4 linked regions of the Anolis sagrei genome follow. The protein of the gene in region 4 interacts with the protein of the main gene of each other region in a biochemical or structural test. Links are inferred from orthologs where the notes say so. Each region holds a gene or a part of one and is shown on either strand. Other genes may lie near its edges. The genes, in order: STIP1, FKBP5, PTGES3 and HSP90AB1.

The links.
Region 1: the proteins of HSP90AB1 (region 4) and STIP1 form a complex in vitro, tested with the Homo sapiens proteins (2 studies listed by BioGRID and IntAct, with this or other methods). The link is inferred for Anolis sagrei from reciprocal best matches to the Homo sapiens genes HSP90AB1 and STIP1.
Region 2: the proteins of HSP90AB1 (region 4) and FKBP5 interact in a biophysical measurement, tested with the Homo sapiens proteins (2 studies listed by IntAct). The link is inferred for Anolis sagrei from reciprocal best matches to the Homo sapiens genes HSP90AB1 and FKBP5.
Region 3: the proteins of HSP90AB1 (region 4) and PTGES3 form a complex in vitro, tested with the Homo sapiens proteins (3 studies listed by BioGRID and IntAct, with this or other methods). The link is inferred for Anolis sagrei from reciprocal best matches to the Homo sapiens genes HSP90AB1 and PTGES3.

What each region holds. Positions count from the first base shown.
Region 1 is NC_090032.1:15,947,326-15,955,535, forward strand, and holds the start of STIP1 (stress-induced-phosphoprotein 1), read left to right. Parts: upstream 1-5,000; 5' UTR 5,001-5,105; coding exon 5,106-5,114; intron 5,115-8,210. UniProt on the Homo sapiens protein: Acts as a co-chaperone for HSP90AA1. Mediates the association of the molecular chaperones HSPA8/HSC70 and HSP90.
Region 2 is NC_090024.1:186,143,297-186,150,938, reverse strand, and holds the start of FKBP5 (peptidyl-prolyl cis-trans isomerase FKBP5), read left to right. Parts: upstream 1-4,041; 5' UTR 4,042-4,107; exon of another isoform or gene 4,108-4,275; intron 4,276-7,642. UniProt on the Homo sapiens protein: Immunophilin protein with PPIase and co-chaperone activities. Component of unligated steroid receptors heterocomplexes through interaction with heat-shock protein 90 (HSP90).
Region 3 is NC_090022.1:137,197,141-137,205,084, forward strand, and holds the start of PTGES3 (prostaglandin E synthase 3), read left to right. Parts: upstream 1-4,665; 5' UTR 4,666-5,000; coding exon 5,001-5,002; intron 5,003-7,944. UniProt on the Homo sapiens protein: Cytosolic prostaglandin synthase that catalyzes the oxidoreduction of prostaglandin endoperoxide H2 (PGH2) to prostaglandin E2 (PGE2).
Region 4 is NC_090021.1:48,271,356-48,279,376, reverse strand, and holds the start of HSP90AB1 (heat shock protein HSP 90-beta), read left to right. Parts: upstream 1-4,757; 5' UTR 4,758-4,860; intron 4,861-8,021. UniProt on the Homo sapiens protein: Molecular chaperone that promotes the maturation, structural maintenance and proper regulation of specific target proteins involved for instance in cell cycle control and signal transduction. Undergoes a functional cycle linked to its ATPase activity.

The sequences.
Region 1 (8,210 bases), on a different chromosome or scaffold from region 4:
AACGGTGTCAAACGCTGCGGTAAGATCGAGAAGTACCAGAAGCGCCGATCCGCCGCTATCAGATTGACGACAAAGTTCATCTGTAATAGCAACCAGGACCATCTCTGTCCCATGACCGGGGCAAAAGCCTGACTGGAAAGGGTCCAGGCCGGCCGTTTCATCCAAAAATTGCTGCAATTGTCCCAATACAGCCCGCTCTATCACCTTACCTAAGAATGGAAGATTAGAGACGGGACGATAATCGGCAAGGGTCATAGGGTCCAGGTTGGGCTTCTTCAACAAGGGACGGACCCTTGCCTCTTTTAGGTTATCTGGGAAAACCCCTTGTTCAAGAGGGCTTTGCTGGTATGTTCCTGCCTGGCAGAATGGGGTTGGGTTAGATGGCCTTTGGGGAACTTGTCCACTCAATGGGATATTATGTTGAATATTTGTGGCTATTGTGTCCCTTTCCAACCTCCTTTCCTCCTCTTCCATGAAACAATTCAACACACCAAAATTGAGCTAAGGAGCAAACGGCCTCTCTTTCTTTTTCGGTGCGGCCGGCTGGGCTAATTTTAGGTAGGTTGCCAAGGGTACCACCAGGCCAAGCCAGAAGCCATGCTTTCTAATTATAGAGGGAAATTAATTCCTCTCCTGCCCAGAGCAAAGCAAAATGTCAACAGAACGGAGTTGAGTCTGTAGGTAAAATTCCCCCAAGATACGTCACATAACATTTTGGGAAAAAAATTAGACTTAATTAAAACATTCAGCGTTCTTATGGCTGATGACTGCCTGTCCTACAGTTTCATATCCAAGCCAAAAAGCCAAATATTCCACTTGGGCCTTGACCCAAGTGGAATTTGGGATTTTTTTTCTCCTGTTACTTACTTAGGGGATGCCTCATTGGACGAGTAGGATAGTCTTCCATGATTAGTATTCTTGTGGATCCGTAGGTGGCTGTGGAGCCCTTTTCTTGACCTGCATCTTCCCCCACAGTGAGGTCATTGGTTTCCAGGTGGAAGGCTGTCTCGGTTGGGGTTGGCTTGACACGCCTTCCTCCTGGTACGTTTCTCTCTTTCGCCCTCCATTCGTGCCTCTTCAAATTCTGCAGCACTGCTGGTCACAGCTGACCTCCAGCTGGAGCACTCAAGGGCCAGGGCTTCCCAGTTCTCAGTGTTGATGCCAGAGTTTTAAAGGTTGGCTTTGAGCCCATCTTTCAATCTCTTTTCCTGTCCACCAACATTCCGTATGGACCAAACTTGCCACGAATATTCCATATGCCCAAATATGAACACAGATGGAGTTTGGGGGAAATAGACCTTGACATAGAATCATAGAATCAAACAGTTGGAAGAGACCTCATGGGCCATCCAGTCCAACCCCCTGCCAAGAAGCAGGAATATTGCATTCAAATCACCCCTGACAGATGGCCATCCAGCCTCTGCTTAAAAGCTTCCAAAGAAGGAGCCTCCACCACACTCCGGGGCAGAGAGTTCCACTGCTGAACGGCTCTCACAGTCAGGAAGTTCTTCCTAATGTTCAGATGGAATCTCCTCTCTTGTAGTTTGAAGCCATTGTTCCGCGTCCTAGTCTCCAAGGAAGCAGAAAACAAGCTTGCTCCCTCTTCCCTGTGGCTTCCTCTCACATATTTATACATTTATACATTTGGGAGTTGTAGTTAGTAAAGGTAAAGGTTGTCCCCTGACATTAAGTCCAGTCATGTCTGACTCTGGGGGTGGTGCTCATCTCCATTTCGAAGCCGAAGAGCCGGCGTTGTCTGTAGACACCTCCAAGGTCATGTGGCTGGCATGACTGCGTGGAGTGCCGTTACCTTCCAGCAGGAGCGGTACCTATTGATCTACTCACATTTTGCATGTTTTCGAACTGCTAGGTTGGCTGAAGCTAGGGCTGACAGCGGAAGCTCACGCTGCTCCCCGGAATCGAACCTGTGACCTTTCGATCAACAAGCTCAGCAGCTCAGTGCTTTAACCCACTGTGCCACTGAGGGCTGTACTGGGATTTATAGTTCACCTACAATTAAAGAGCATTCTGAACCCCGCCAATGACAGAATTGGGGCAAACTTCCCATGCAGAACCCCCATGACCAACAGAAAATACTTAAGGCCATCCAGTCCAACTCCCTTCATCAGGGCAAGAAAACATAATCAAAGCCCTCCTGACAAAGAGCCATCCAGGTAGAGATATAGATAGATGTATATGATTCACACACACAGAGATATAGTATCATAGATTTGAAAGGGATCCTTAAAGAAGGACAATGATATGTTGTATGTTCCAGGGTGGGCAATCCAGACACTCTCCACATCAACACTGACAAAGAAACAGCAAGAAATACTGTTTACCCACAAGCAGAAAGAAATTACATATATTAGAAACCAACACTTTCTCATTATTTTATTTTCCAGATCATCAAACTGGGCCACAGCAATGCGTGGCAGGAAACGGCTAGTAATAAATAAATATTTGAGAGGAAGTCACAGGGAGGAGGGAGCAAGCTTGTTTTCTGCTTCCTTGGAGACTAGGACGCAATGGAACAATGGCTTCAAACTACAAGAGAGGAGATTCCATCTGAACATGAGGAAGAACTTCCTGACTGTGAGAGCCGTTCAGCAGTGGAACTCTCTGCCCCAGAGTGTGGTGGAGGCTCCTTCTTTGGAGGTTTTTAAACAGAGGCTGGATGGCCATCTGTCACGGGAGCTTTAAATGCAATATTCCTGCTTCTTGGCAGAATGGGGTTGGACTGGATGGCCCATGACTGTGAGAGCCGTTCAGCAGTTGAACTCTCTGCCCCAGAGTGTGGTGGAGGCTCCTTCTTTGGAAGCTTTGAAACAGAGGCTGGATGGCCATCTGTCAGGGGTGCTTTCATAGAATCATAGAATCATAGAGTTGGAAGAGACCTCATGGGCCATTCAGTCCAACCCCATTCTGCCAAGAAGCAGGAATATTGCATTCAAATCACCCCTGACAAATGGCCATCCAGCCTCTGCTTAAAAGCTTCCAAAGAAGGAGCCTCCACCACACTCCGGGGCAGAGAGTTCCACTGCTGAACGGCTCTCACAGTCAGGAAGTTCTTCCTCATGTTCAGATGAAATCTCCTCTCTTGTAGTTTGAAGCCATTGTTCCGCGTCCTAGTCTCCAAGGAAGCAGAAAACAAGCTTGCTCCCTCCTCCTCCCTGTGACTTCCTCTCACGTATTTATACATGGCTATCATATCTCCTCTCAGCCTTCTTTGAATGCATTATTCCTGCTTCTTGGCAGAATGGGGTTGGACTGGATGACTGTGAGAGGTGTTCAGCAGTGGAACTCTCTGCCCCGGAGTGTGGTGGAGGCTCCTTCTTTGGAAGCTTTTGAACAGAGGCTGGATGGCCATCTGTCAGGGGTGATTTGAATGCAATATTCCTGCTTCTTGGCAGAATGGGGTTGGACTGGATGGCCCATGAGGTCTCTTCCAACTCTAGGATTCTATCATTTAAGAGTTTCCTGACCGTGAGAGCCGTTCAGCAGTGGAACTCTCTGCCCCGGAGTGTGGTGGAGGCTCCTTCTTTGGAAGCTTCTAAACAGAGGCTGGATGACCATCTGTCAGGGGTGATTTGAATGCAATATTCCTGCTTCTTGGCAAAATGGGGTTGGACTGGATGGCCCATGAGGTCTCTTCCAACTCTAGGATTCTATAATTCTCCCTCTCCCATTCAGTAAAGTCTTTGCTGGAAAAATGCGGCAAGCTAATGACAACAATGAGGAGGAAATTCAGCCAATGGGAGCACCTCCCGCTGACGTCTCCACCTTTCCCGTCCAATTAGAATACACTATAGCTGGCCAATGAAACGCTGGAGGCGGGATCTTGGAAAGGCAGAGAAATCCGCCTTACTTTTTGTACGCCCCGCCCCTTCACTCTCAGTGACCCAATCGCGTTTTAGCTCCCATATTGTGGGCGGAGCCGAGGAGGAAGGCGGGATTTCGGAAGACGGACAGGAAGAGAGGCGGATAGGTCTTTAGCTCCGCCCCTTCACGATCCGTCACGCTCAGTGGCCCAATCGCATTTTAGCTCCCCGATTGTGGGCGGAGCCGAGGAGGAAGGCAGGATTTCGAAAGACGGACAGGTAGAGAGACGGACAGGTCTTTAGCTCCGCCCCTTCACTCTCAGTGACCCAATCGCGTTTTAGCTCCCATATTGTGGGCGGAGCCGAGGAGGAAGGCAGGATTTCGAAAGACGGACAGGTAGAAAGACGGACAGGTCTTTAGCTCCGCCCCTTCACGTTTCGTCACTCTCAGCGGCCCAATCACATTTTAGCTTCCATATTGTGGGCGGAGCCAAGGAGGAAGGCAGAATTTCGGAAGACGGAGAGGAAGAGAGACGGACAGGTCCTTAGCTCCGCCCCTTCACGCTGAGTGGCCCAATCGCATTTTAGCTCCCCGATTGTGGGCGGAGCCGAGGAGGAAGGCAGGATTTCGGAAGACGGGCAGGAAGGGAGACGGACAGGTCTTTAGCTCCGCCCCTTCACGCTGAGTGGCCCAATCGCATTTTAGCTCCCCGATTGTGGGCGGAGCCGAGGAGGAAGGCAGGATTTCGGAAGATGGGCAGGAAGGGAGACGGAGAGGTCTTTAGCTCCGCCCCTTCACGACGCGTCACGCTCAGTGGCCCAATCGCATTTTAGCTCCCCGATTGTGGGCGGAGCCGAGGAGGAAGGCAGGATTTTGGAAGACGGACAGGAAGAGTGACGGACAGGTCTTCAGCCCCGCCCCTTCACGCTCAGCGATCCAATGGCGTTTTAGCTCCCGATTGTGGGCGGAGCCAAGGAGGAAGGCAGGATTTCGGAAGACGGACAGGTCTTCAGTCCCGCCCCTTCCCGCTCATTTACCCAATCGCATTTTAGCTCGCCAATTGTGGGCGGAGCCGAGGAGGAAGGCGGGATTTCGGAAGACGGACAGGAATAGAATCCGTTTGGGTGTATAGAAGGGGCGTGTCCAAGTTAAAGGGAAAGAGCCAATGAGCGTCGAGGGGCGGGGCTAGAGGGTTCTAGCAGGTTCCAGAAGGCGGGGTGGGAAGAGAAGCAGGCGGCTCGACTCAGTGAGGGAAGTGGCAGCGAGGAAGTCCGGCCGGCGCGATGGAGAAGGTCGGGCCTAGCTTGGTGTGGCGGGGAAGCCGGGTGGAGGGGGGAAAGGGGGCCTGAGGGGGACGCAAAGGATCTCGGGAAGGCCGCGTGGGGTGGGGGAGGGGCTCGGAGGGGGTCCCCTTAACGGAAGTGGGTTCGCGCAAGGCATGGCGGGAAAGGGAAGCGTGGGCCTGGGAGGGGAGCTTCACAGAACGTGTGAATGTCAGATTTCAAGGGGGGATTCCTCTTGGTGGAGAGAAAGGGGGTCAAAAGCAGGGCCTCCAGAGTTGAGAGGATCTTTGAATATGAAATAATAATAATAATCCACTTCAATGCAAAACATGGAGTCTCCTCCTCTGGAGGTTTTGACTCGGAGGCTGGATGGCCATCTGTCGGGAGGGCTTGGGTGGTGTCTTCCTGCCTTGCAAAAGGGGGGATGGACTAGATGGCCCTTTGGGGTTCTCTTCCAACTCTGATTCTACTGATTATATTATAATGTAATACAATCTTCTATCTATATCTATATATATCTATATCTGCTCTCTGCTATCTATATCTTCTATCTATATGGGGTTCTCTTCCAACTCTGATTCTACTGATAATATTATAATGTAATACTATCTTCTATCTATCTATCTTCTATCTATATCTATCTATCTATCTAAATGGGGTTATCTTCCAACTCTTATAATGTAATGCTATCTTCTATCTATCTTCTATCAATCTATCTATATCTATCTATCTATATGGGGTTCTTTTCCAACTCTGATTCTACTGATAATATTATAATGTAATACAATCTTCTATCTATCTATCTTCTATCTATATCTATCTATCTATATCTATATATCTATATGGGGTTCTCTTCCAACTCTGATTCTACTGATAATATCATAATGTAATACAATCTTCTATCTATCTATATCTATCTATCTATCTATATCTATATATCTATATCTTCTATCTATATCTGTCTATGTATATGGGGTTCTCTTCCAACTCTGATTCTACTGATAATATTATAATGTAATACAATCTTCTATCTATCTATCTTCTATCTATATCTTTCTATATGGGGTTCTCTTCCAACTTTTATAATGTAATACTATCTTCTATCTATCTTCTATCTATCTATCTATATATCTATCTATATCTATATATCTATCTATATCTATATCTATATGGGGTTCTCTTCCAACTCTGATTCTACTGATAATATTATAATGTAATACAATCTTCTATCTATCTATCTTCTATCTATATCTATCTATCTAAATGGGGTTCTCTTCCAACTCTTATAATGTAATACTATCTTCTATCTATCTATCTATCATCTATCTATCTATCTATATCTATCTCTATGCGGTTCTCTTCCAACTCTGATTCTACTGATAATATTATAATGTAATACAATCTTCTATCTATCTTCTATCTGTATCTATCTATCTAAATGGGGTTCTCTTCCAACTCTTATAATGTAATACTATCTTCTATCTATCTTCTATCTATCTATCTATCTATCTATATCTATATCTATCTCTATGCGGTTCTCTTCCAACTCTGATTCTACTGATAATATTATAATGTAATACAATCTTTTATCTTCCATCTATCTATCTATCTATATCTTCTATCTATATCTATCTATCTCTATGGGGTTCTCTTCCAACTCTGATTCTACTGATAATATTATAATGTAATACAATCTTCTATCTATCTATCTACTATCTATCTATATCTATATATCAATATCTTCTATCTATATCTATCTATATGGGGTTCTCTTCCAACTCTGATTCTACTGAGAATATTATAATGTAATATAATGTAATAATGTATCTTCTATATATCTATATCTTCTATCTATATCTATATCTATCTATCTATCTATCTATATCTATATATAACAATGCTTTGTGCCTAATAAGTTCCTTAAAAACAAAAGAACCAATGAATGAAATCACACCAAATTTGGCAACAAAACGTCTCACAACACAAGGAGTGACCATCACTCAAAACACTATGACTTTGTCATTTGGGAGTTGTACTTTCTGGGATTTATAGTTCACCTATAATCAAAGAGCACTCTGAACTTCACCAATGGTGGAATTGAACCAAACTTGGCACACAGGACTCCCTTGACCAACAGAAAACACTAGAAGGGTTTGGTGGGCATTGGCCTTGAGTTTTGGAGTTGTACTTCACCTACATCTAGTGTGGACAATGATGGACCTGGACCAAACTTGGCACGAATACTCAATATGCCCAAATATAAACACAGATGGAGTTTGGGGGAAATAGATTTTGACATTTGGGAGTTGTAGTCACTGGGATTCACAGTTCACCTACAATCAAAGAGCATTCTGAACCTCACAAACAACAGAATTGGGGCAAACTTTCCACACAGAACCCCCATGACCCACAGAAAATACTTAAGGATATCCAATCCAACTCCCTTCATCAGGGAAAGAAAACATAATCAAAGTCCTCCTGATAAAGAGCCATCCAGCCATAGATAGAGATAGATAGATAGATAGATATGATTCACACACAGATAGAATCATAGAATCAAAGAGATGGAAGAGACCTCATGGGCCATCCAGTCCAACCCTCTGCCAAGAAGCAGGAATATTGCATTCAAAGCACCCCCAACAGATGGCCCTCCAGCCTCTGCTTAAAAGCTTCCAAAGAAGGAGCATCCACCACACTCCGGGGCAGAGAGTTCCACTGCTGAACGGCTCTCACAGTCAGGAAGTTCTTCCTCATGTTCAGATGAAATCTCCTCTCTTGTAGTTTGAAGCCATTGTTCTGCATCCTAGTCTCCAAGGAAGCAGAAAACAAGCTTGCTCCCTCCTCCCTGTGGCTTCCTCTCACATATTTATACATGGCTATCATATCTCCTCTCAGCCTTCTCTTCTTCAGGCTAAACATGCCCAGCTCCTTAAGCCGCTCCTCATAGGGCTTGTTCTCCAGACCCGTGATCATTTGAGTCGCCCTCCTCTGGACACATTCCAGCTTGTCAATATCTCTCTTCAATTGTGGTGCTCAGAATTGGACACAATATTCCAGATGTGGTCTAACCAAGGCAGAATAGAGCATGGGGAGCATGACATCCTT
Region 2 (7,642 bases), on a different chromosome or scaffold from region 4:
AATTCTGGGGTTTGTAGTTTAGGGAGGATACTTTAACAGCCTCGCTAAACTACAAACCCCAGAATTTTGCAGGAGGCAGAAAGTGAATTTAAACTGGATTCATAGTGTGATGAAGTATTAGGTGAATCTAGAATGAATGCAGATGGACATCACTCTCACTGCCATGGCTCAATGCTATGGAATCCTGGGAGTTGTAATTCTATCCCTTTTAACTGCAAGAGCTCAATGATTTGGAGTTTTACAAGGCCTCCCTTGAGTCTTGTCAAAAAATGCTGTTGCCACCCTAAACGACAACTCCCATGATTCCATTGAGGCACTGAGAGCATAATAAGCATTCATTCTAAGGTGTAGATGCCCCCAAGGCAAGACCCACGACTCCTACTCACCTTTCTAGGTTCTTCGACCACAGCTTCCTCAGGGATGACGGTTTAGTATTCCTTTCCGTGGGGGAAAGGGCCCCTCTAGATGCCCTCTCCGGTTCCCCTTCGCTTTGCTGCCTTTGTGCGTGTAAACACTGGAGCCGCGCGGCTGAGTCTTGGCCGAGAGAGAGAGAAAAAGATCAAGGTTTCGTAACACACGGCGGACCTTCCCGGAAAAACAAAGAAAACATAAACACTCGGGGCGCAATCCACGCCGAGAAAGAGAGGGAGGGAGCCCTCGGGCCCTTGTACCCATCCGGAGAAAGGTGGGACAAAAACACAGCCCATGAACCCAGCCACACGAAGAGCACGTTTTCATCTACACTGTGGAAGTTCAACAGTTTGACACCACTTTAACTGCCATGGAATCCTGGGAGCTGTAGTTTGGTGAGGTCTCACTACTCTTGCCCCCGCCATGATTCCATAGCATTGAGCCATAGCAATGATAGTGGTGACAAACTGCATTCATTCCACAGTGTAGATGCACCCTCAGTCTGCATCCATCCATGTTGACTTTATTATACTGTATGCAGTTATTTGCCAAGGCTCAATGCTATGAGTTGTAGTTTTACAAGGTCTTTAGGCTTTTCTACTGGTGCCTCACCAAACTCCCAATATTCCACAGCACTCAGTAAAGTGGTTTCAAAGTGTGTTAATTCCACAGTGTAGATGCAACTTCAGTCCGCATCCATCAATGTTGACTTTATCATACCGTTAGTATGCAGTTAATTGCCATGGCTCAGTGCTGTGAGTTGTAGTTTTACAAGGTCTTTAGGCTTCTCAACGGGTGCCTGATCTAAGTACAACTCCCAGTATTCCATGGCACTCAGTAAAGTGCTATCAAAGTGTGTTAATTCCACAGTGTAGATGCACCCTCAGTCTGCATCCATCCATGTTGACTTTATTATACTGTTAGTTTGCAATTAATTGTCATGGCTCAGTACTATGAGTTGTAGTTTTACAAGGTCTTTAGGCTTCTCAATGGGTGCCTGATCTAATTACAACTCCCAGTATTCTATAGCTCTCAGTAAAGTGGTATCAAAGTGTGTTAATTCCACAGCGTAGATGCACCCTCAGTTTGTATTCATTCATGTTGATTTTTTATACTGTTATGCAATTAATTACATTGGCTCAGTGCTGCGAATTGTAGTTTTACAAGGCTTCTCAGCAGGTGCCTGATCTAACTACACCTCCCAGTATTCCATGGCACTTAGTAAAGTGGTATCAAAGTGCATTAATTCCATAGTGTAGATGCACCCATCCACGTTGACTTTATTATACTGTATGCAGTAAATTGCCATGGCTCAGTGCTCTGAGTTGTAGTTTTACAAGATCTTTAGGCTTCTGTACTGGTGCCTGATCTAACTACACATTCCAGTATTCCATAGCACTCAGTAAAGTGGTACCAAAGTGTACTAATTCTACAATGTAGATGCACCCTCAGTCTGCTTCCATCCATACTGACTAGAAAACAGGATGATTCTCATGGAGCATCTACACCAGGCATGGGCAAACTTCAGCCATTCAGGTGTTTTGGACTTCAACTCCCACAATTCCTAGCAACCTACCAGTTGTTAGGAATTGTGGGAGTTGAAATCCAAAAGACCTGGAGAGCTGAAGTTTGCCCATGCCTGATCTACACTGTAGAATTAATGCACTTCAACACCACTTTACTGAGTGCTATGGAATACTGGAAGTTGTAGTATGGTGAGGCATCAGTAGAGAAGTTTTAAAATCTTGTAACACCTTGTTAAACTACAACTCATAGTATTGAGTCATGGCAATTAACTGCATACAGTCTGAATGGTCAGGTTAGGAGAAGAGAGGCACTGTAGAATTAGTGCACTTTGACACCACTTTACTGAGTGCTATGGAATACTGGGAGCTGTAGTTTGGACAGGCACCAGTAGATAAGGCTAAAAACCTTGTAAAACCTTGTTAAACTACAACTCATAGTATTGTGTCATGGCAATTTACTGCATACAATCTGAATGGTCAGTCATTCGGGTTAGGAGAAGAGAGGCTCTGTGGAATTAAGACAGTTTAATGCCACAGATGCAGATTGAGGTGGCATCTCTGCAGTAAAATTAATGCACTTTGACACCACATCAATGAGTGCTATGGAATACTGGGATTTGTAGTTTGGACAGGCACCAGTAGAGAAGGCTAAAGACCTTGTAAAACTACAATTCAGAGAATTGAGCTAGGGCAATTAACTGCATAACAGTATAATAAAGTCAACATGGATGGCTGCAGATTGATGTGACATCTACACTGTAGAGTTAACACACTTTGATACCACATGGCTGAGTGCTATGGAATACTGGGTGTTTGGTGAGACACCAGTAGAGAAAGCCTAAAGACCTTGTAAAACTACAACTCATAGCACTGAGCCATCTACACTGTAGAACCAATACACTTTGAAACCACTTTACTGAGTGCTATGGAATACTGGGAGTTGTAGTTTGGTGAGGCACTAGTAGAGAAAGATGAAGACCTTGTAAAACTACAACTCATAGCACTGAGCCAGGGTAATTAACTGCATAACTGTATAATAAAGTCAACATGGATTATGCAGATTGAGGTGGCATCTACACTGTAGAATTAACACTCTTTGAAATCACTTTATTGAGTGCTATGGAATACTTGGAGTCAGGCCCGTAGCCAGGATTTCGTTTGGGGGGGGGGCTGAATTTTTTTCAGGGGGGGTTTCAGGGGGGGCTGAGTTTGGGGGGGGGCTGAGTCTGAGTGAAAGAGGGTCTAACCTAGCAAACCTTTTGCATCATTACCCCAATACCCCCATGCATATGGGATATATTGAGCATGGTGATCAGATCGTGATATGAATAAACATAACAGTTTAAATAATGCACCAGTAAGGCCTTTTCGTGAACCACCATGAGAATTTCGGGGGGGGGGGGGGGGCTGAAGCCCCTCAAGCCCCCCTCCCCCTGGCTACATGCCTGCTTGGATTTGTAGTTTGGTGAGGCACCAGTAGAGAAAGCTGAAGACCATGTAAAACTACAGCTCATAGCACTGAGCCAGGGCAATTAACTGCATAACAGTACAATAAAGTCAACATGGATTATGCAGATTGAGGTGGCATCTGCACTGTAGAATTAGCACACTTTGATACATTACTGAGTGCTATGGAATACTGGGAGTTATAGATTGGTCGGGCACCTGTAGAGAAGGCTGAGGACCTTGTAAAACTACAGCTCATAGCACTGAGCCAGGGCAAGTAACTGCAAAGGAGTATAATAAAGTCAACACGGATGGATGCAGACTGAGGCTGCATCTACACTGTAGAATGGAGGCAGTTTGACACCAGAATGCTTTCCACAGTGTTATAAAGGATGTGAGGCGCAGGGGAGAGGACACGTGTCTTCATTTTGCACCGAGTAAGTGACACGCGAGTTCTATCCCACTCCAGAGACAAGTTGGGACCCCTTCCCTCAGGCAGCGGGTTGTGAAAAAAGGAAGGCGGTGCCATGTTTTCACACAAACACACACAAAAGGAGAAGCGGCCAATGGCGGGGAAGCGGTACCCGGACGGACAGGGGCGGGGGCCAATGGGAGCGCGAGGCGGGGCTTCACCCGGGGGGGACTGGCGGCCAGCGCCGGTAGCGGGTGTCATTCTCGGCAGGAGCCACAGAGGGAGGAGGAGGAGCGGCGGGGCGAGGAGCAGGTACCCGTGGGCCATTGGCTGCCTTCCCGGCTCCGTGGAGAGGAAGAGGCGCGCTGGTTCCCAAGGGGAGGGGGCCCACCTTGTGCCCAGAGAGCGCCTTCCCCCCTCGCGGTATCAGCCCATCCATAACTCTTCCAAGAGGCGTCGTAGGGAAGCATTGCTATCGCTGTGAGTGAGGAGGAGACGCTGCTCGTAGGCTGAGGAAAGGGGGAGCAAGGCTGGAACTGGAGGGGGAAATGTGATACCATACTACGCTTGGGATAATAGATCCATCTCTGCATTGTCGAAGGCTTTCATGGCCGGAATCGCTGGGTTGCTGTAAGTTTTTCGGGCTGTATGGCCATGTTCGCTCCTGAGACCTCACAACCTCTCGGAGGATGCCTGCCATAGATGCAGGCGAAACGTCAGGAGAGAATGCTTCTGGAGCATAGCCAGACAGTCCGGAAAACTTCTACAACCCAGATCCATCTCTGCTTCTTCCCCTTCCTGCTTTGCATGTGTTGTTGTGTTCTGTACTCCGTGTGTTTTCTGTTCTTCCCATTGTACAAACTCCACGTTTACCACGGAGGGAAAAGTTAATGATGTCTTGTCGAAGCTTGTTGTGAGTTTTCCAGGCTGTATGGCCATATTCCAGAAGCATTCTCTTCTGTCGTTTCTCTCTCTTGTTTTGGTGACTTGAGAAACTGCAAGTCGCTTCTGGTGTGAGAGAATTGGCCGCCTGCAAGGACATTGCCCAGGTGATGCCAGGATGTTTTGATGCTTGACCATCCTTTGTGGGAGGCTTCTCTCATGTCCCTGCATGGGAAGCCAGAGCTGACAGAGGGAGCTCATCCGCGCTCTCCCCGGATTCGAACCTGTGACCTGTCGGTCTTCAGTCCTGCCGGCACTGTACCACCAGGGGCTCCTGACTTTTCTCTCAGGCAGTAAGAAGCCAGAACTTGAAACTGCTAGGCCATTCAATGTTAATCAAGGTGGCCAATGATCAAAGGCCTGGAGACTATGAATCCCTATGAGGAGTGTCTTGAAGAGCTAGGGAATGTTTAGCCTGCAGAAGAGAAGGCTGAGAGGAGATAGTAGCCATGTATAAATATGTGAAAGAGTGCCATAAGGAAGAGGGAGTAGGCTTCCTATCTTCTGCCCTGGAAACTAGGACTCGGAGTAATGGGTTCAAATTACAGCAGAGGAGATTCCACCTGAACATTAGGAAGAACATTCTGGCGGTATGAGCTGTTCAATAGTGGAACTCTTTGCCTTGGAGTGTAGTGGACGCTCCTTCATTGGAGGCTTTTAAACAGAGGCTGGATGACCATCTGTCAGGGTTGGAAAAAGTGGATTGAATAATAGAATTATAGAGTTGGAAGAGACCTCGTGGACCATCCAGTCCAACACCCTGCCAAGAAGCAGGAAAATTGCATTCAGAGCACCCCCAACAGATGGCCACCCAGCTTCTGTTTAAAAGCTTCCAAAGAAGGAGCTTCTACCACACTCCAGGGCAGAGAGTTCCACTGCTGAACAGCTCTCACAGCCAGGAAGTTCTTCATAATGTTCAGGTGGAATCTCCTTTCTTGTAGTTTGAAGCCATTGTTCCGCATCCTAGTCTCCAGGGCAGCAGAAAACAAGCTTGCTCCCTCCTCCCTATGAATTAGTCTCACATATTTATACATGGCTATCATGTCTTCTCTTGGTCTTCTCTTCTGCAGGCTAAACATGCCTGGCTCTTTAAGCCGCTCCTCATAGGGCTTGTTCTCCAGACCCTTGATCATTTTAGTCGCCCTCCTAGATGGCCCATGTGCTCTCTTCCAACTTGTATTATTCTAATTGAAACATTCACATCTCCCTCTAACAGACAAGAGTTCTTTCTCCCACCTTGGACCTTCCACGGATATTTAAACCCCATTTTCCTAGTTTCCAACAAACCTCACAACCTCTGAGGATGCCTGTCATAGATGCAGGCGAAACGTGAGGAGAGAATGCTTCTGGGACATGGCCACACAGCCCGGAAAACTCACAAAAACCCAAAGTTAATGATGTTGTGATGAGCCGTCCTCTCTCTTCCTCTCTCTCTCCTCTTGGTGCCTCATCTTCATTATGTAAGGAGGAGGTGGAGAATAACAGGCTTTTCTCCCCTCCTTTTGAGGGAATTTCAGATCTCATATTACTTTCTCTCTCCCCCCCCCCCCCCCCTTCTTCATATTGTCAGGAAATTGAAAAGATAGCAACCAGAGGTTGGTTGGTTTGTTTATTGGAGGGAAAAGAGGCGTTTTGTTTTCCCCATTCAAACCCGCCGTCAGCTAACTCCGTGGGCTTCCCAAGCAGACCTCACAACCTCTGAGGATGCCTGCTATAGATGCAGGCAAAACGTCAGGAAAGTATGCTTCTGGAACATGGCCATACAGCCTGGAAAACTCACAGAAACCCGGTGATTCTGGCCATTAAAGCCTTGGGAAATACATCTTTTGTAGTTTGTGGGTCAATGTATAACACTTCTTGATGTCATACAGGTAGTCCCCAAGTTACGGATAAGATAGGTCCTGTAGGTTTGTTCTTAAGTTGAATTTGTATGTAAGTCGGATTTATTTACATTTGTAAGTGTAACTCCAGTCTGTCTGTATGTCTGTCTAGACAAGGCTTGGGCAAACATGAGCCCTCCAGGAGTTTTGGACTCCAACTCCTACCATTCCTCACAGCCTCAGGCCCCTTCCTGAGGCTGTGAGGGCCTGAGGCTGTGAGGAATGGTGGGAGTTGGAGTCCAAAACACCTGGAGGGAGGGGCGAAGTTTGCCCATGCCTGGTCTATAAGCTTTGGGCAGTATACAAATAAAGTATTATTATTATTGAAAAATTGGTTTGTTGTTGAAACAGGGATTGGTGATAAAGCTTCAATTGAGACTCCTTTTCCCCAGGATAACTCTTCCAAGAGTGATTTTCCCTTCCAAGGGGTAGATTTCTCTCACTTCCTGTTGTCTCACCTCTGTTCTTAACTAGGCGTCCTTTGTAACTCAGGGATTGTCCATACAATTATTGTTCTTCTGTTGCATCTGTGCTCTCAAGCCGCCTGTAAATTTTTGGTGACCCCAACAATGTCTTCCGCGAAGAATACTTTTCACAGTCTTTCCTCTGAAATGTAGCCTCCATTTTTGGTCTCCCATCCAAATATTGACCAGGGCTGGCCCTGCTTAGCTTCCAAAATCCTCCAGAATCTGGAACCCTTTAGGGCAGAGCTTTCCAGGCACTTCCTGTTGGAGACAGTTTTTAGACACGCGTCATTTTGCAACACAGTAATTCAGTTTTTGGCAATTTTACCTCAACCCTGCAGGCTGCTAAATAATGTGACTTATTTTAAGCATTTCAGTAGTGCTGGCTTTTCTGGACCTTATATGTTTGTTTAGATAATTATCTTATTTTATTAATAATTTTATATTTTTGCTTAATAATTTATTAGTTTGTAATGATGCTACTTTGTACTGTTTTTGGATTGTGTTTGTTCATTACCAGGCATTGAATGTTGCCTTTTTGCTTGGAAGCCACCCTGAGTC
Region 3 (7,944 bases), on a different chromosome or scaffold from region 4:
TCCTCTGCTTCTGGGCCTGGCATGATGGAGATGTGCCTGTTTCTTCTCTCCCTCTGTTGAGTAGTTGGGATGGAAGAAAGCCTTTCCTCTGCTTCTGGAGCTGGGTATGGCCAAGCTGCGCTTTCCAATTCTTCCCTTACATATTGGCTTTGGTATATCCATGTCCACCACTTTGATAACCCCTATTTATTTATTTATAATTTTTGCCTGCTTGGAAATAATGGGCTTGCAAAGGGCATGTTACAACAAACTGAGGTCAAACCTAGAATTCCCTGCTTTCAAGCTGATCTGACCTGCAGCAGGGAGTTCCTCAGTTCTCTATTGTCCCACTTGGGCCAGCCTCCATGAATGTGGCCACAGCAGCAGCTCCAACCCAGAAGCCTTCTTATTACTTCATTTTCTTCCCCTTCCTAACACTGTAACTAATCCCCCCAATAAAGTACCAATTAATTGTATTTTTTTCTCTCTCAATAGTGTTACTTTGTGTCTTTTACTGCCTCCAAACTCGTCTCAGTATAAATCTTTCCTCTCCCAGGCTGCAGATGGCTGCCAGCCTGCCCAGGATGCAATTTTCACGTCCTGGGGAGGCCAAAACTGCGTTCCTCTGAACGGTAGATACGTAAACCCATTGGGCCCCTGTATCCGTGAGTCAACGGATCGCTTCAAAATCAGTGCCATTCTTCTCCGGGGGAATTCTAAGATTAATGGCTATCTCAGTTTCGCTCCACTAAGCCTTCCGCCCCGGGAATAACAATTTTTGCCTCCAAAACCTCAAACTGGAGCCCAGCTGTTTCCCTGAAGATACTGCCTCGTTGCCACCATTTTATGGATGCCCAGTGAGCCTGCCGATCCTGGAAAACTGTCGCGGTCACCCCATAGGATACCCAAGATATCAGCAGGCCGCCTTGGTCCTTGGTGAGGAAGGATCTGTAGTTCTCTCCGTGGATCTTGATCTCCAGTGCTGGCAGTCACCTCATAAGAACTCTGACTCTGGGGCACCTTTTCCAACTTGCCTCCTGTGGATTTTACAACTTTTATCAACTTTTAAAACATTTTGGAAACTTTCTGGAACTCTTTCCCCAAGCCCCATGGACTCCCTTTTATGACTTAGGGACTATATGATTTCATGATATTGGACTCTCTATGAACTTCATGATATTGGACTCTCTATGACTCTCTATATTAATTTCCTTTTCCCCCTTTTCCCCTGTGCATGCTGTATGAACCCCATATATGTGTCTATGTATAAAAATATGGAAAGCCACTTTTTCGTGACCCCAGCATGGCAAACCCTTGGGAAATTCCTATTTCCTGAGATGAATTCCCCATTGACTTAAGGACTCCAACAAAGATTTATTGCATGGCAATAACAATGGTGCATCCTGGGTCTCGGAGCATGACCGCCCAGGAAGGCACCCCATGGTGAACCTGGTCACTTGTCAACAATGGGACATTTTGCCTTCAGGGAAGATCAGGATGTCCCATCCGACTCACTCATTGTTTTGCACCCTCGGCTGAAATCCACACACAGATATCATCAATTGATCCCATATCCTTAACTGAAGATTATCAAGGTTGGGCAGCTGTGCCAGCCACTTTTGTATATTTCAACACTACTGGACAATACCAGGCCATCTTGAGGAGTGTCCGGATTATTGCCGGCCATCGGACAAACCATTAAGTTCCATTTAATCCACTCATTTTCCTCTCGGTTAATTGTTTTCCTGCTTGTATCGCCTCCTCGACTTCCATTGGCTCAGGAGCTGAAGCAGTGCTGGCTTCTCCATTGGCTGAGGCGTGCCTAAGCCGGCCGCACCTCCCTCCAGCTGATGACTCCAGCCAATCAGCGCGAAGCCAGCAGAGGGGCAGGGGGCGGGAAGTTTGAATCTGACAACTCTGTATTTTCTATAAAATGTACCCTTTTCTCCCTTCCCAAACATGTCGACTTTGGCAAGAGATTGCGGTTTGACATCTGTACCAGCTGGGACAAAATAAATACAACTCGGTGGCTTTTCTTCAACTTGGTGAGACTTTACTTGGGAAAAATTAGGGAAAAATCTGGGGTGCTTCACTTGTCTCGCCAGGGCTCCGGACTCTCCTTGTTGAGTCTGATTTTGAGACCCTGAGAGGTGATTATTGTGTTGTTGAAGGCTTTTGTGGCCGGAATCACTGGGTTGCTGTGAGTTTTCTGGGATGTATGGCCATGTTCCAGAACCATTATCTCCTGATCTTTCATCCACATCCATGGCAGGTATCCTCAGAGGTTGTGAGGTACATTGGAAACTAGGCAAGTGAGGTATCTATATCTGTGGAATGTCCAGGATTGGAGAAAGAGCTCTCGTCTGCTTGAGGCAGGTGTGAATGTTGCAACTGGCCACCTTGATCTGTATTTAATGACCTTGCAGCTTCAAAGCCTGTCTGCTTCCTGTCTGGGGAATCCTTTGTTGGGAGGGGTTATCTGGCCCTGGTTTTCTGTCTGAAATTCCCCTTTTTTTAGTGTTCCTCTGAATGTATTGTTCTGATTTTAAAGTTTTTTAATACTGGTAGCCACATTTTGTTCATTTTCATAGTTTCCTCCTTTCTGTAACTGCAAATGTCTACTGTATACCATGCAGTTGTGGACAAGTCTACATAAGGACCCCCAAATGCAGCACCCAAACACGAATGAAACAATCAGGGCCAGCTAACAAAGTAGGGATATGGTTATCCCTCAGAAATGTCAACATGCTGGATAATCAGGTTTTAAAAAACATTTCATCTATCTGTTTTACTTTCCTTATTCTTTCTCCCTCCAGTTTGTAATGTATTCTCTGGCTTGAATCCCGGTCTTGTGTTGGGAACAGTGTTCATGAATAATTCTGTGGTGAGATTGGAACTGTTTTTATAATACCTTTGGAAACAGACAGACTGACTGCCGGCTTTAGCAGACACACCTAGAATATTGACTACTGCATCTAACAATATACTGGTACATTGTGAAGCACCAATAAGGACTAAATGAAAATGTCCTTGGAGAAAAACTCATGATCTGAAGCATGTTGTTAGGTCCATGTCTCTAACTGTATCTCTATCTACTCAATAATGTATATTTTATGCTATTTTAAAAACAATTCTGCTTTATTTCACTTCTGAGTTTTTGTGTGGGTCACTCAATGGATCAAACACAATTTTCTTCCTTTTTTCTGCAGCAAATCAACATAGTGCACACAATGTCTTCTAGAACAGTGTTTCTCAACCTGGGGGTCGGGACCCCTGGGGGGGTCACGAGGTGGTGTCAGAGGGGTCACCAAAGACCATCAGAAAACACAGTATTATGGTTGGTCATGGGGGTTTTGTGTGGGAAGTTTGACCTAATTCTATCGTTTGGTAGGCTTCAGAATGCTCTTTGATTGTAGGTGAACTATAAATCCCAGGAACTACAACTCCCAAATGTCAAGGTCTATTTTCCCCAAACTCCACCAGAGTCCACATTTGGACATATTGAGTGTTCGTGCCAAGTTTGGTCCAGATTGATCATTGTTTGAGTCCAGGGTGCACTCTGGATTTAGGTGAACTATAGCTCCCAAACTCAAGGTCAATGCCCATCAAGCCGTTCTAGCATTTACTGTTGGTCATGGTATTTCTGTATGGCCAGGTCTGATAGAATTCCATTGTTGGTGTTCAGAAAGCTCTCTGATTGTAGGCGAACTATAAACCCCAGGAACTACAACTCCCAAATGATAACATTAATCTCCTCCAACCCCACCAGTATTCAAATTTGGGCGTATCAGGCATTTGTGCCAAATTTGGTCCAGTGAATGAAAATCCATCCTGCATATCAGATATTTACATTACGATTCATAACAGTAGCAAAATTACAGTTATGGGGTAGCAACGAAAATAATGTTATGGTTGGGGGTCACCACAACATAATGAACTGTATTAAGGGGTCGCGACATTAGGTAGGTTGAGAACCACTGTTCTAGAAGGTTTTCATGGCCGGAATCACTGGGTTGTTGTGTTTCCTGGGCTATATGCCCATATTGTGACAACCTCTGAGGATGCCTGCCATAGATGCAGGCGAAACGTCAGGGGAGAATGCTTCTGGTATATGGCCTACAGCCCGGAAAAGACACAACCCAGTAGTGCACACAGTGGCTTTGAATATGCACTTGATTGTTTGAATGCACACAAAGCATCAGACATAAATGATTATGAATATTCAACTTCACCAGCAGAATTAATTTTCTCACCTGGTTGACAATTTATAGGGTGGGGGGAGGCAAATATCAAGAACAGGCTCGTCTTCTTCTACGGCGCATGCGCCGGAGTGTGCTTGGAAGCTTGGCAAGCCTAGAGAGAGGGAGAACATGCGCGAAAAGTGCAACTACGCATGCGCCGGGGGTGCGAGCCGGCCCGGCCCAACGGGCGGAGGCGCCTCGAGAGAACGTGCTCGAAAGATGGAATTGCGCGTGCGCAAGGCAGAGGACGAGGGAGCGCATGCGCGAGAACGAAACATCCGGCCGTTTGTGGTAGGTGCGCGCCGTTGAGGAGGGCGAAGCGGCAAGGAGGTGGCGAGTGGTGCGCATGCGCCCTTGTCAGCGTCCATAGTCGGACGGGCTCCAGTGGGAGGGAGAGAGAGAAAGAGGGAGGAAGGAAGGGAGAAGGGAAGAGGGAGGGGTGGGCGTTTTGCTGCGTCACCAGCTTCTGGGGAGCCGTCGTTGGAGAAGGAGCGCGAGGGAGCCAGGGAGAGCGCGCGCGCGGGCGGGTGAGCGCGCGGTGCTTTGTGGGTAGCAGGCCTCACTCGGCTTTTGAGCCTGGAGAGGGAGAGAAGGAAGGAGGCAAGGAAGGAAGGAAGGAGGCGCCGTTGCCCTCGCCCGCGCTTTCTCGCCCTTGCCGAGGGACCTTCAGCCCTGCGCCCTTGGGAGAAGAAGGCTTCCCCGGACTAGCTCTCTGGAGGGAGACGGAGGACAGAGCGGAGAAGACTCACGCCGCCGCCGCTGCTGTTAACACCGTTTGCCATGTGAGTGAGTGAGGAGGGGTTGGCAGAGCAATGGCTGGGCCAGGAAGGAAGGAGGGAAGGCATGAGGGCAGCAGGCGTCTCCTGAGGACGCCGGGGCGGGAGATGGGCCGGGTTCTCTTATTCATATCGACAGGCTGCACGGATCCGGCATCCACGGGTTCAAACCCCACACCCGCCCAGTTTGAAAATATTCCAAGGGAAAATATTCCGGGGAAGGAGGATTAGATGGTCGAGAGATCATTGCCGGGCCTCTGGTTGAGTACTATTTGTATTTCGGCTTTTTTTTGGTCCACACCAGCCCAGTGACCTCATCTGACTATATAACCAACCCACACCGTTTCGTGAACCCTTGCTGGTTGGGTTTTGTGAACCCTTGCTTGCTGGGCTCACAAAACTAATGTGGATATTTTGTTTAGATTTATGTTATTTTAGATTTTTGCCTACTACATATAGTGTAATTTGTTGATGTCAGGTATAATGTACTGATGTTAGGTTTTAATATTACTTTTATATGTTTAGATTTTATTATATGTTATGTTTTTAATTGTATTTAAAATGATATGATATGATATTGGACACCATTTACTTTTTTTTCACACATAACATGAACTTATTTCTTATATATAATGTATATGAAATCCCCCTTTGTGACTTTAGGCTATCTCATATATCAGTCATACACACACACATATATATGTGTGTACACATATATGTACATATTGGTATTTAAAGAAAGCAGATAGTGTAGGATTTTCTGCCTTTATATTCTGGGTTATATGGCTGTATGGAAGGGCCCTGGGAGAAGGACCCCTTCATGTGGAGATAGTTTGTTCTCCATCTGAAGAAAACCCTTGGGGTTTTACAGAGCACTCTCATTTTCTATTAAATACACTATCAAATCTTTATACTGGAGAGTATGAGATGTTTCTTTGAACACAGCCTGAACAAATCTGGGCCATGCAACTGATGGGCCCAAAGGATACAGGAGTTAAAGGTAATGGTTAGGATAAAATCTGGCAACAGGCGATTCAGTTGTCTCGTGGAGTAAATTAAAACATGTGCTGAGAGATGGGAAATGGTTGCTGGTCTAAGTTGTGACCCAAGTTTTGTTGTGAGTTTGAAAAGAGGGTTGGAGTCACTTTCTTTTGAGGCTCCCAGAGTGAGAGATGAAGTCAGGAGAAAAGGGGACAAAGAAAAGCAAGGTGCAAAATTAGTGAGAGAAGATACCAGTGCAGCATATGAGGCTAGAAATTGAATTAATGTGGTGTCCTAGAAATGTTACTTTAAAAACATGGATTATTTATTTATTTTTATCCCAGCTTAGAATCAAAAACATTACAATTTAAAATATACTATAAATATACTATAATTAAACAGTATATTTATTTATTTATCGTGTCAAGAGCGAACCAAAACAGGTGTATTGCATTAAAAAACAAAAAAACACAGACTTGGTATTCTATTAAATGTCATTTGACCACTAGCTGGCCAATTGGAGTGCCTCTGGTGTTGCTGCAAGAAGGTCCTCCATTGTGCATGTAGCAGGGCGCAGGTTGCATGGGAGTAGGTGGCCTGTGGTTTGCTCTTCTCCACACTCGCATGTCATGGATTTAACTTTGTAGCCCCATTTCTTAAGGTTGGCTCTGCATCTCATGGTGCCAGAGCGCAGTCTGTTCAGTGCCTTCCAAGGTGCCCGGTTTTCTGTGTGCCCAGGAGAGAGTCTCTCATTTGGTATCAGCCATTGATTGAGGTTCTGAGTTTGAGCCTGCCACTTTTGGACTCTCGCTTGCTGAGGTGTTCCAGCGAGTGTCTCTGTAGATCTTAGAAAACTATTTCTTGATTTAAGTCGTTGGCATGCTAGCTGATACCCAAACGGGGTGGGCCGGAGATGTCACTGCTTTGGTCCTTTCACTATTGGTTACTACTTCCTGGCAGATGTCAGGTGGTGCAATATCGGCTAAACAGTGTAGTTTCTCCAGTGGTGTAGGGCGCAAACACGCGATGATAATGTGGCATGTCTCATTAAGAGCCACATCTACTGTTTTAGCATGGTGAGATGTGTTTCACACTGTGCATGCATACTCAGCAGTAGAGTAGCATAGCACAGGGATAGATGTCTTCACTGTATCTGGTTGTGATCCCCAGGTTGTGCCAGTCAGCTTTCGTATGATACTGTTTCTAACATATATTATATATTATCAGTAGTAATTATATTTAATATATTAGTATTACAATATTATATATATATTATTAGCACACTGCAATATTAGTACTATATAGTACTGTATTGTACTATGCCACTATACTGCAATTTTATTAGTAATATTACATGTAATATATAATATACAATTGTTATAAGATTGTAATAGTTTTTCAATATTCCTAACCATATCTAATTAGTTGAGAGACCAGTATTTAAAACTGAGAGAAGAGGACTTGTAAAATAATTGGTGAAGTATGGATGAAACATGCCTATTCCTATTAGGATAATAATATCACTTGTTGAATAACAAATATGTTAAAAAACGTGAGGAGAAATCTACACTTGGCAAGAGTTTCATTAAAGGTTTAGAAACAAGCAGAAGTTGATGAAATTCTTCACACAATGGATCTATTCGTTGGAGTGATTTTTCAGTAGCAACTGTAAAATTGGGAGTGTATGGATAATGTGTTCACAACAGCCATCTTAACAGCAAATGAGGTTTGGCAATATATCTTCCTTAGGCCTTCAATCACTTTCATCAATAATTAAAATTGGAGTCTTTTCTATAGTTTCTACATGTGTTGAGAAGCATCCAAGTATATTGGCATATTAAGATCTCCAAGCTACATAACAATTCCCATTTGGTAAAATCCCATCATGTCATAAGTTACATACCTAGGTTACATTCCGGTTAGACTACTATAATGCACTCTATGTGGGCTGCCTTTGAAAAGTGCCC
Region 4 (8,021 bases):
CCTCGTGGACAGCACGTTAAACATGAGCCAATGTGATGTGGCGACAGAAAAAGCCAATGGGGTTTTGGCCTGCATCAATAGGAGCATAGTGTCTAGATCTAGGGAAGTCATGCTACCCCTCTATTCCGCTTTGGTTAGACCACATCTGGAATATTGTGTCCAATTCTGGGCACCACAATTCAAGAGAGATATTGACAAGCTGAAATGTGTCCAGAGGAGGGCGACTAAAATTATCAAGGGTCTGGAGAACAAGCCCTATGAGGAGCGGCTAAAGGAGCTGGGCATGTTTAGCCTGAAGAAGGATGAGAGGAGATATGATAGCCATGTATAAATATGTAAGAAGACGTCACAGGGAGGAGGGAGCAAGCTTGTTTTCTGCTTCCCTGGAGACTAGGACGTGGAACCTACTTCAATGGCTTCAAACTATAAGAAAGGAGATTCCATCTGAACATGAGGAAGAACTTCCTGACTGTGAGAGCCGTTCAGCAGTGGAACTCTCTGCCCCGGAGTGTGGTGGAGGCTCCTTCCTTGGAAGCTTTTAAACAGAGGCTGGATGGCCATCTGTCAGGGGTGCTTTGAATGCAATATTCCTGCTTCTTGGCAGTGGGTTGGACTGGATGGCCCATGAGGTCTCTTCTATGAATGTCCAGGGTGTAAACCCCGTTCCGCCCTTAGAGGCCTGGCTGTGGGCCTTCATGCCGTTTTGGGCCTATGGAAGCCTTCTCTGATGGCTTTCCTGGCCAGATTGATCCAGCAGCGCTTTGGCGGGGCCTACCCCTGAGGCTGAGAGAGTGTGCCCTTCCCCCCCCCCCTCTCTCTCTCTCCCCCTCCCTCTCAGGGACCTCCTAGAACGAGAGGAACCCGAAAGGCGTCAGAGAAGGAGGGGGACAAAGCGCCCTCTGGAAAATGCTAGAAAGAAGTCGCAGCACAAGCAGCCGTCTCCCTCCGCCGTCTATATCATAGGAAAGAATCCCCTTCGCCTCGCCGTTGCGCTCCAATCAGAAACAGGTGCTCTTCGCTCCGCCCCATTTGCGTGAGGGGAAATGCGCATGCGCGCGGAGAGCACGTTGTAAGATGGAGCTGGAGAGAAACGAAAGCTCTCAAGGAAGGAGGGGGGAAATAATTGTGTGATCAGGCGCATGCGCAGAAGAGCAGAGGCCTACAATAGGAGCAAGCCTGCGTCAGAGCGTGTCTAGAAAGCATGTTCAGCCCTCCTGAGGAAAGAGCAAGCAGAGCTTCCGAGCCAAGATGCTGTGGTTTAAGAAAGAATTGCTTCTTTTCTCCTTTTTGAAAGCCCTGCGCCTTCAGAGAATAATAATAATTAGCGCTCGCGTTATTTCCTGGTCTCCATTGACGATAATGTGGTTATTAAAAGATGGGCGAAAAAGAGGCGAGGTTATGAGTCACCGCCAGGAAGGGCCGCCCATGGCTCTTCCCTTTAAATGGGAAAGGTCTTGGTGGGCCCCACAAGAGAAGCAGCACCATTGCAGAGGAAAGCATCAGCAGAGAGGGCCATCACCTCTTTCTCCAAGCACAGTTCTCCAAAAGTCAAACTGGAGAAGAAAACAAAGACTGCAGAAAACAAACTACTTAGAATCATAGAGTCGGAAGGGACCTCGTGGGCCGTCCAGTCCAACCCCCTTCCAAGAAGCAGAAAAATCTCATTCAAAGCACCCCTGACAGATGGCCAGACAGCCTGTTTAAAAGCCTCCAAAGAAAGAGTCCCCATCACACTCCAGGGCAGAGAGTTCCACTTCTGAATAGCTCTCACAGGAAGCTCTTCCTAATGTTCAGATGGAATCTTCTTTCTTGCAGTTTGAAGCCATTGTTTTGCGTCCTTTGCATCCGCAGAGGTTGTGAGGTCTGTTGGAAACTAGGAAAATGGTTTTCCTAATTTCCAACAGACCTCGCAATGTCTGAGGGTGCCTGCCATAGATGCGAGAGAAACATCAGGAGAGAATGCTTCTGGAACATGGCTATACAGCCTGGAAAACACACAGCAACCTAGTGATTCTGGCCATTAAAGCCTTTGACAATATAATAAGAGTATGGTATTGGAAATGTGTAAATGGTGTAAACAACCGACAATGCCAATTTACTATTACTATATTTGCTTATCTTCTGATTTGAGTCAAGAGACTCAAAGTAATGAACAATGGTAAAAGCATTATAATACAATGTAACATTAAATCAGGTAAAAGCAATACCTGACTGAGAGTATAAACCTCTGGGTTGCTGTGAGTTTTCAACATTAAAACAAAGGATTCCTCCAGGCAGGAAGCAGCCAGCCTTTGAAACTGCAAGGGCATTCAATGCTAATCACTTGCCTCAAGTGGACAAGAGTTCTTTCTCCCATCCTGGACATTTCACAGATATATAAAACCCCACTTGCCTAGTTTCCAACAGATCTCACAACCTCTGAGGATGCCTGCCATAGATGTGGGAGAAACATCAGGAAAGAATGCTTTTGGAACATGACCATACAGTCTAGAGAACTCAAAGCAACCCAGTGATTTTGGCCATGAAAGCCTTTGACAACACATGAAAATAGAATTAAATTTAGAACTATTTTAAAAACAATAAAATTGTTTAAAATACATCAAAACAACACACAATAGTGGCATTTGGTTTCCCCCCCCCCCCCCAACACTCAATTGTTGTTTATTCGCTCAGTCGCAGCTGACTTTGTAACCTCATGGGCCAGCCCACGCCAGACTCCCTGTCCTCAGATGGATGGAACGATGCCATCCATCCATCTTGCCCTTGGTCTGCCCTTTTTCCTTCCATTTTCCCCAGCATCATTGTCTTCTCCAAGCTTTCCTGTCTTCTCATGATATGGCCAAAATACTTAATCTTTGCCTCTAATATCCTTCCCTCCAATGAGCAGTCGGGCTTTATTTCCTGGAGTATGGACTGGTTGGATCTTCTCGCAGTCCAAGACACTCTCAGAATTTTCCTCCAACACCACAGTTCAAAAGCACCTGTCTTCCTTCACTCAGCCTTCCTTATGGTCCAGCCCTCACATCTATAGGTTACTACGGGGAACAAGGGAACAATCCTTTACAGAAGCAACACTCAATATTACACGAGACTGCAACATTTCAAGTTAATTTTCTTCCTTCACTTAGCCTTCTCTATGGTCCCGCTCTCACATCCATAGGTGACTATGGGGAATACCATTGCTTTAACTATGTGGATCTTTGTTGCCAGTGTGATGTCTATACTCTTCACTATTGTATCGAGATTGGACATTGCTCTCCTCCCAAGAAGTAAGCGTCTTCTGATTTCCTGGCCGCAGTCTGCATCTGCAGTAATCTTTGCACCTAGAAATACAAAGTCTGTCACGGCCTCCACGTTTTCTCCCTCTATTTCCCAGTTGTCAATCATTCTTGTTGCCACAATCTTGGTTTTTTTGATGTTTAACTGCAACCCAGCTTTTGCGCTTTCTTCTTTCACCTTGATTAGAAGGCTCCTCTGCACCCCCTCACTTTCGGCCATCAAAGTGGTATCATCTGCATATCTAAGGATGTTAATGTTTCTTCCAGCAATTTCATCCCAGCCTTGCATTCCTCAGGCTGGTATATAGTGCAGGCCATATTATGTACCTGACTGCTACCTTCCATTTCTGCACAAAATAGTCTTCAGAATTTCTATGGACAATGCTTTATGATCTGTTTAGTATTCTTCTTAGGCGATCCCTCGTTGGACGAGTAAGATGGTCTTCCATTATGCGTTTCCTTGTGGGTTCGTAGGTGGCTGTGGAGCCCTATTCTTGATCCGCATCTTCTCCCACAGTGAGGGCATTGGTTTCCAGGTGGAAGGCGGTCCCAGTCGGGGTTGGCTTGATGCGCCTTCCTCCTGGCACGTTTCTCTCTTTCGCCCTCCACTCATGCCTCCTCGAATTCTACAGCACTGCTGGTCACAGCTGACCTCCAGCTGGAGCGCTCAAGGGCCAGGGCTTCCCAGTTCTCAGTGTCTATGCCAGAGATTTTAAGGTTGGCTTTGAGGCCATCTTTAAATCTCTTTTCCTGTCCACCAACATTCCGTTTTCCGTTCTTAAGTTCAGAGTCGAGCAACTGCTTTGGGAGAAGGTAGTCAGGCATCTGGACAACATGGCTGGCCCAGCGGAGTTGCTGTTGGAGGACCATCGCTTCAATGCTGGTGGTCTTTGCTTCTTCCAGCACGCTGGCGTTTGTCCGCTTGTCTTCCCAGGAGATTTGCAGGATTTTCCGGAGGCAGCGCTAATGGAATCGTTCCAGGAGTTGCATGTGACGTCTGTAGACAGTCCATGTTTCACAGGCATATAGCAGGGTTGGGAGGACAATAGCTTTGTAGACAAGCACCTTGGTATCCCTACGGATGTCTCGGTCCTCAAACACTCTCTGCTTCATTCGGGAAAATGCTGCACTCGCGGAGCTCAGGCGGTGTTGTATTTCGGTGTCGATGTTGACTTTGGTGGAGAGGTGGCTGCCAAGGTAGTGGAAATGGTCAACATCTGTTTAGTGGCTGAAGGGGAAAAGGAAGGGGCCTGAGGCAGTTAGGAATGGTGGGAGTTGGAGTCCAAAACACCTGGAGGGCCCAAGTTTGGCCAGGCCTGGTCGACCCCGCTTCAGCTGCCATAGTTCCGTGCTCTATAAAAGTGCTCCATTCCACAGTGTACAGAGGCACTCTTTCCCCTCCTCCAAAGGGATGCGGCCCCTTTAAGGCGGAAGGAGCCGAGGGGCGAGCGGCGCGAGGCCGGGCCGGGCGGATATAAAAGGGGGGCCCGCGCGCTCCCGCCTCCTCTCCCGGCTCTCTTGCTCCGAAGGCCGCCCCGCGCTCAAGGCTCGCCTCCCGCCCGTCTGCCCGCCCGCCATCAAGGTCGGTCCTTTTCTCCCCCTCGGAGGAAGATGGAGGAGCGGAGTGGAATCGCCCCCGGCTCTGAGAGTGGAGGGAGGGGGAAAAATGAGTCCCGCTCCCGGTCAGGAGGCGCCCTCAGAAGAAAGGAATCCGTCCCTGAGGGAGCCTTTGGAGCTAGGCCTCGGCCTCGCCGTGCCTCACCTCCTGAGCCGCCCTCAGGGAAGGAAAGCAAAGAGGGAAAGAAAGGCTTAGAGAAAGACGGAAAGCAAGCAGGTCGCCCCCAGAATACAACAAGGCAGGGAAAGGAGGCGAGGGAGGCCTTTGCGACAATGGCGGATTGGGGAGGGGGGAGCGAGGGAGCTCCCTCGCGTGGAAAGGGAGGGAGGGAAACGCGTGGGCATGGCCGCCTCCTCCCTGCTGCCAGGCCTGGATTGCGACAACGCGCCTCTTTGTGGAATAGGCAAGCAGAGATACATGGCGCACATGTGTGTACGCATCTATCTTCCATATAAATAATAATGTAATGTTCGTTTGTGGAATTAACAGAACTCGAAAACCACTGGACGAATTGACACCAAATTTGGACACAATACACGTATCAGGCCAACGAGTGACCATCACTCATAAAAACACTGAAAAACACAACGGAAGGGACTTCAAAAGCCAAAAAAAAATATTAAAAAATACATTACAGCATATGAGCAAAAACATATATATAGACGCAAACACACACACATATACACAAATATATATACACACAAAGCATATATATACAGAATGGGCCATAGCAACGTGTGGCAGGGGACGGCTAGGATCTATATAAATAAAAATGTAATGTTCGTTTGTGGGATTAACATAACTCAAAAGCCACTGGACGAATTGACACCAAATTTGGACACAATACACATATCAGGCCAACAAGTGACCGTCACTCATAAATACACTGAAAAACACAGCAGAAGAGACTTAAAAAGTAAAAATAAAAAATACATTACAATACATGTGCAAAACCATATATATACATATGCAAACACACATATATACACATACACAAAACACATATACACAGACTGGGCCACAGCAACGCATGGCAGGGGGTGGCTAATATATGTATATGTGGAGAGTGAAAGCAAAAGCACGTGCCTACCCACAGAAATAGAGCACATGTGTGTACATATATATATATGTAGAGGGAGAGAGAGTGCGTGCCTACCCACATGCATATATACAGATATAGCTCATAGGAGAGAGAGAACCTAAACGAAAGTACTGCCACAATTGTGTGCACGCACATATATGTAAGAGATGCATACGTAGCCAAAGAGAAAATATTGCTCGTCACACACATGATGAATTCCTAGCTTTGGGTTTCAAAAATAAAGTTTCTCTGTCTCTCTCTCTCTCTCTCTCTCTCACACACACACACACACACATACATACATATGCAGTTATTGATGGATAGATAGATATGCATACAAATGTATATAGTTAAAAAAGAAGAGAAAATAGTTTTACTACTAATTGTTACTAATTGTGGACATGAGGAATTCCTAGCTTGGGCAAACTGGCTGTTAAGAATTGTGGGACTTGGTAGTTCAAAACACCTGGAGGGACGAAGTTTGCTCATGCGTGCTTTAGTTTCCAGTAGAAAAGGTGTACATTCACAAACCTTTTCTATTTGAGACTACAGGGGAGGGATTCCTCGCATCTACAATGTGTATACATGCACAGGTTTTTGTAGATACACACATACATGTAAAAATTAAAGATCTTTACTAAAACTATACTTAAAAAAAGAATATGCACACACACACACACACACTTGTGCATAACATAGAAGAGAAAATAGCATTACAAATGGTAAACTTGAGAAAACCTGGAGTTTCAGACATCTATTTACACACACACACACATTTATTCAATTCTATGATGCAGTTTTCCCCTCATAAACATCTTTTAATAATGGCTTGTGCCTTAGACTCATGGGTGCTTTTTTCTGTTGGTGGTACTGAAATGTGTGGCTGAGGTAGTGACATTTCTGTTTTCTGTTGGTTCAGTGTACACAAACCTCCTTTCATGCACAAATTTATTTTTAAAATATTGTGTATGAAACTGCCTTCAGTTTATGCATATAAACTTTGTTTCATGCACAAAATTATTTTTCAAATACTGTGTAAAATTAAACTGCATATAAAGGTACATATGAAAAACAAATGAGTTTCATGTTTAGGGTTGGGTCCTATCTTTGAGATTCCTCATTATATACATGCAAATATGCAAAAAGAAATTTTTTTTAACCAATTGGAGGGCCAAAAGTTTGAAAACTAATGCCATACCTCTCCAAACTACAAACCTTAAAGAGTCTATGGGATGCAACTCAAAATAGGTTTATTCAATGGGGCGAATGCATATTTTAGAAAAAGCCATAAACCCTACATTGGAAGAAGGGAAAAGTGAAAATCTGATACTGACAGGTTGAAACAAAAAAGTTTCAATTCAGAGAAATCCCAACAATTTTCTTTACTTCATTTTAGTTTTGATCCCACCTCTTTCCAAATAAGGACTCAAGAACAAGACTGCCAAGATCTCACCACCTGAACTCGATCTACATTGTATCAGCTTAGCAATATAATCAACCCTCCATATTTTCTGGCATTATGAGCATAGGACCCCCACAAAATGAAAAAAAAAAACACTTTTTATAAAATGCCAAGAGAACAGTTCTAGGCATCTGTCTTTTAGTTCTATATAGTCAACATCCACTGGAAACTGGTAATAGAGTTGTGTGGGAGGACAGAGATCTCTCTAGAGACATGTTCTGTTTAGAAATCTCTAGTTCCTCCAGAACAACAACTGGTCGGTCCACAGTTGCACTGGAGGACCTTGTGTTTCCTACAGAAGCCATATTAATTAAGCCCTCAAATGTGGAGGGCTGATGTACCAAGTTTGTCTATGTAGCATAGCAACAGGATAGCAGTTCACACAGAGCTTATTTAGTGATCTTTCTAGATCAGCTTTGTAAATAATCCTTCACTGTCACGGTGCTGGCTAAAGGAGGACAAATTTCAAGCCCACTTGCTTTCTATGCTATGGGTAGTGGAGGAAAAGGATTTTGTTGCCTGTCCTCATGCATGATGGCATGTAGGTCCCACTCAACAGGGCCACAGGTGGTGTCCAAATGC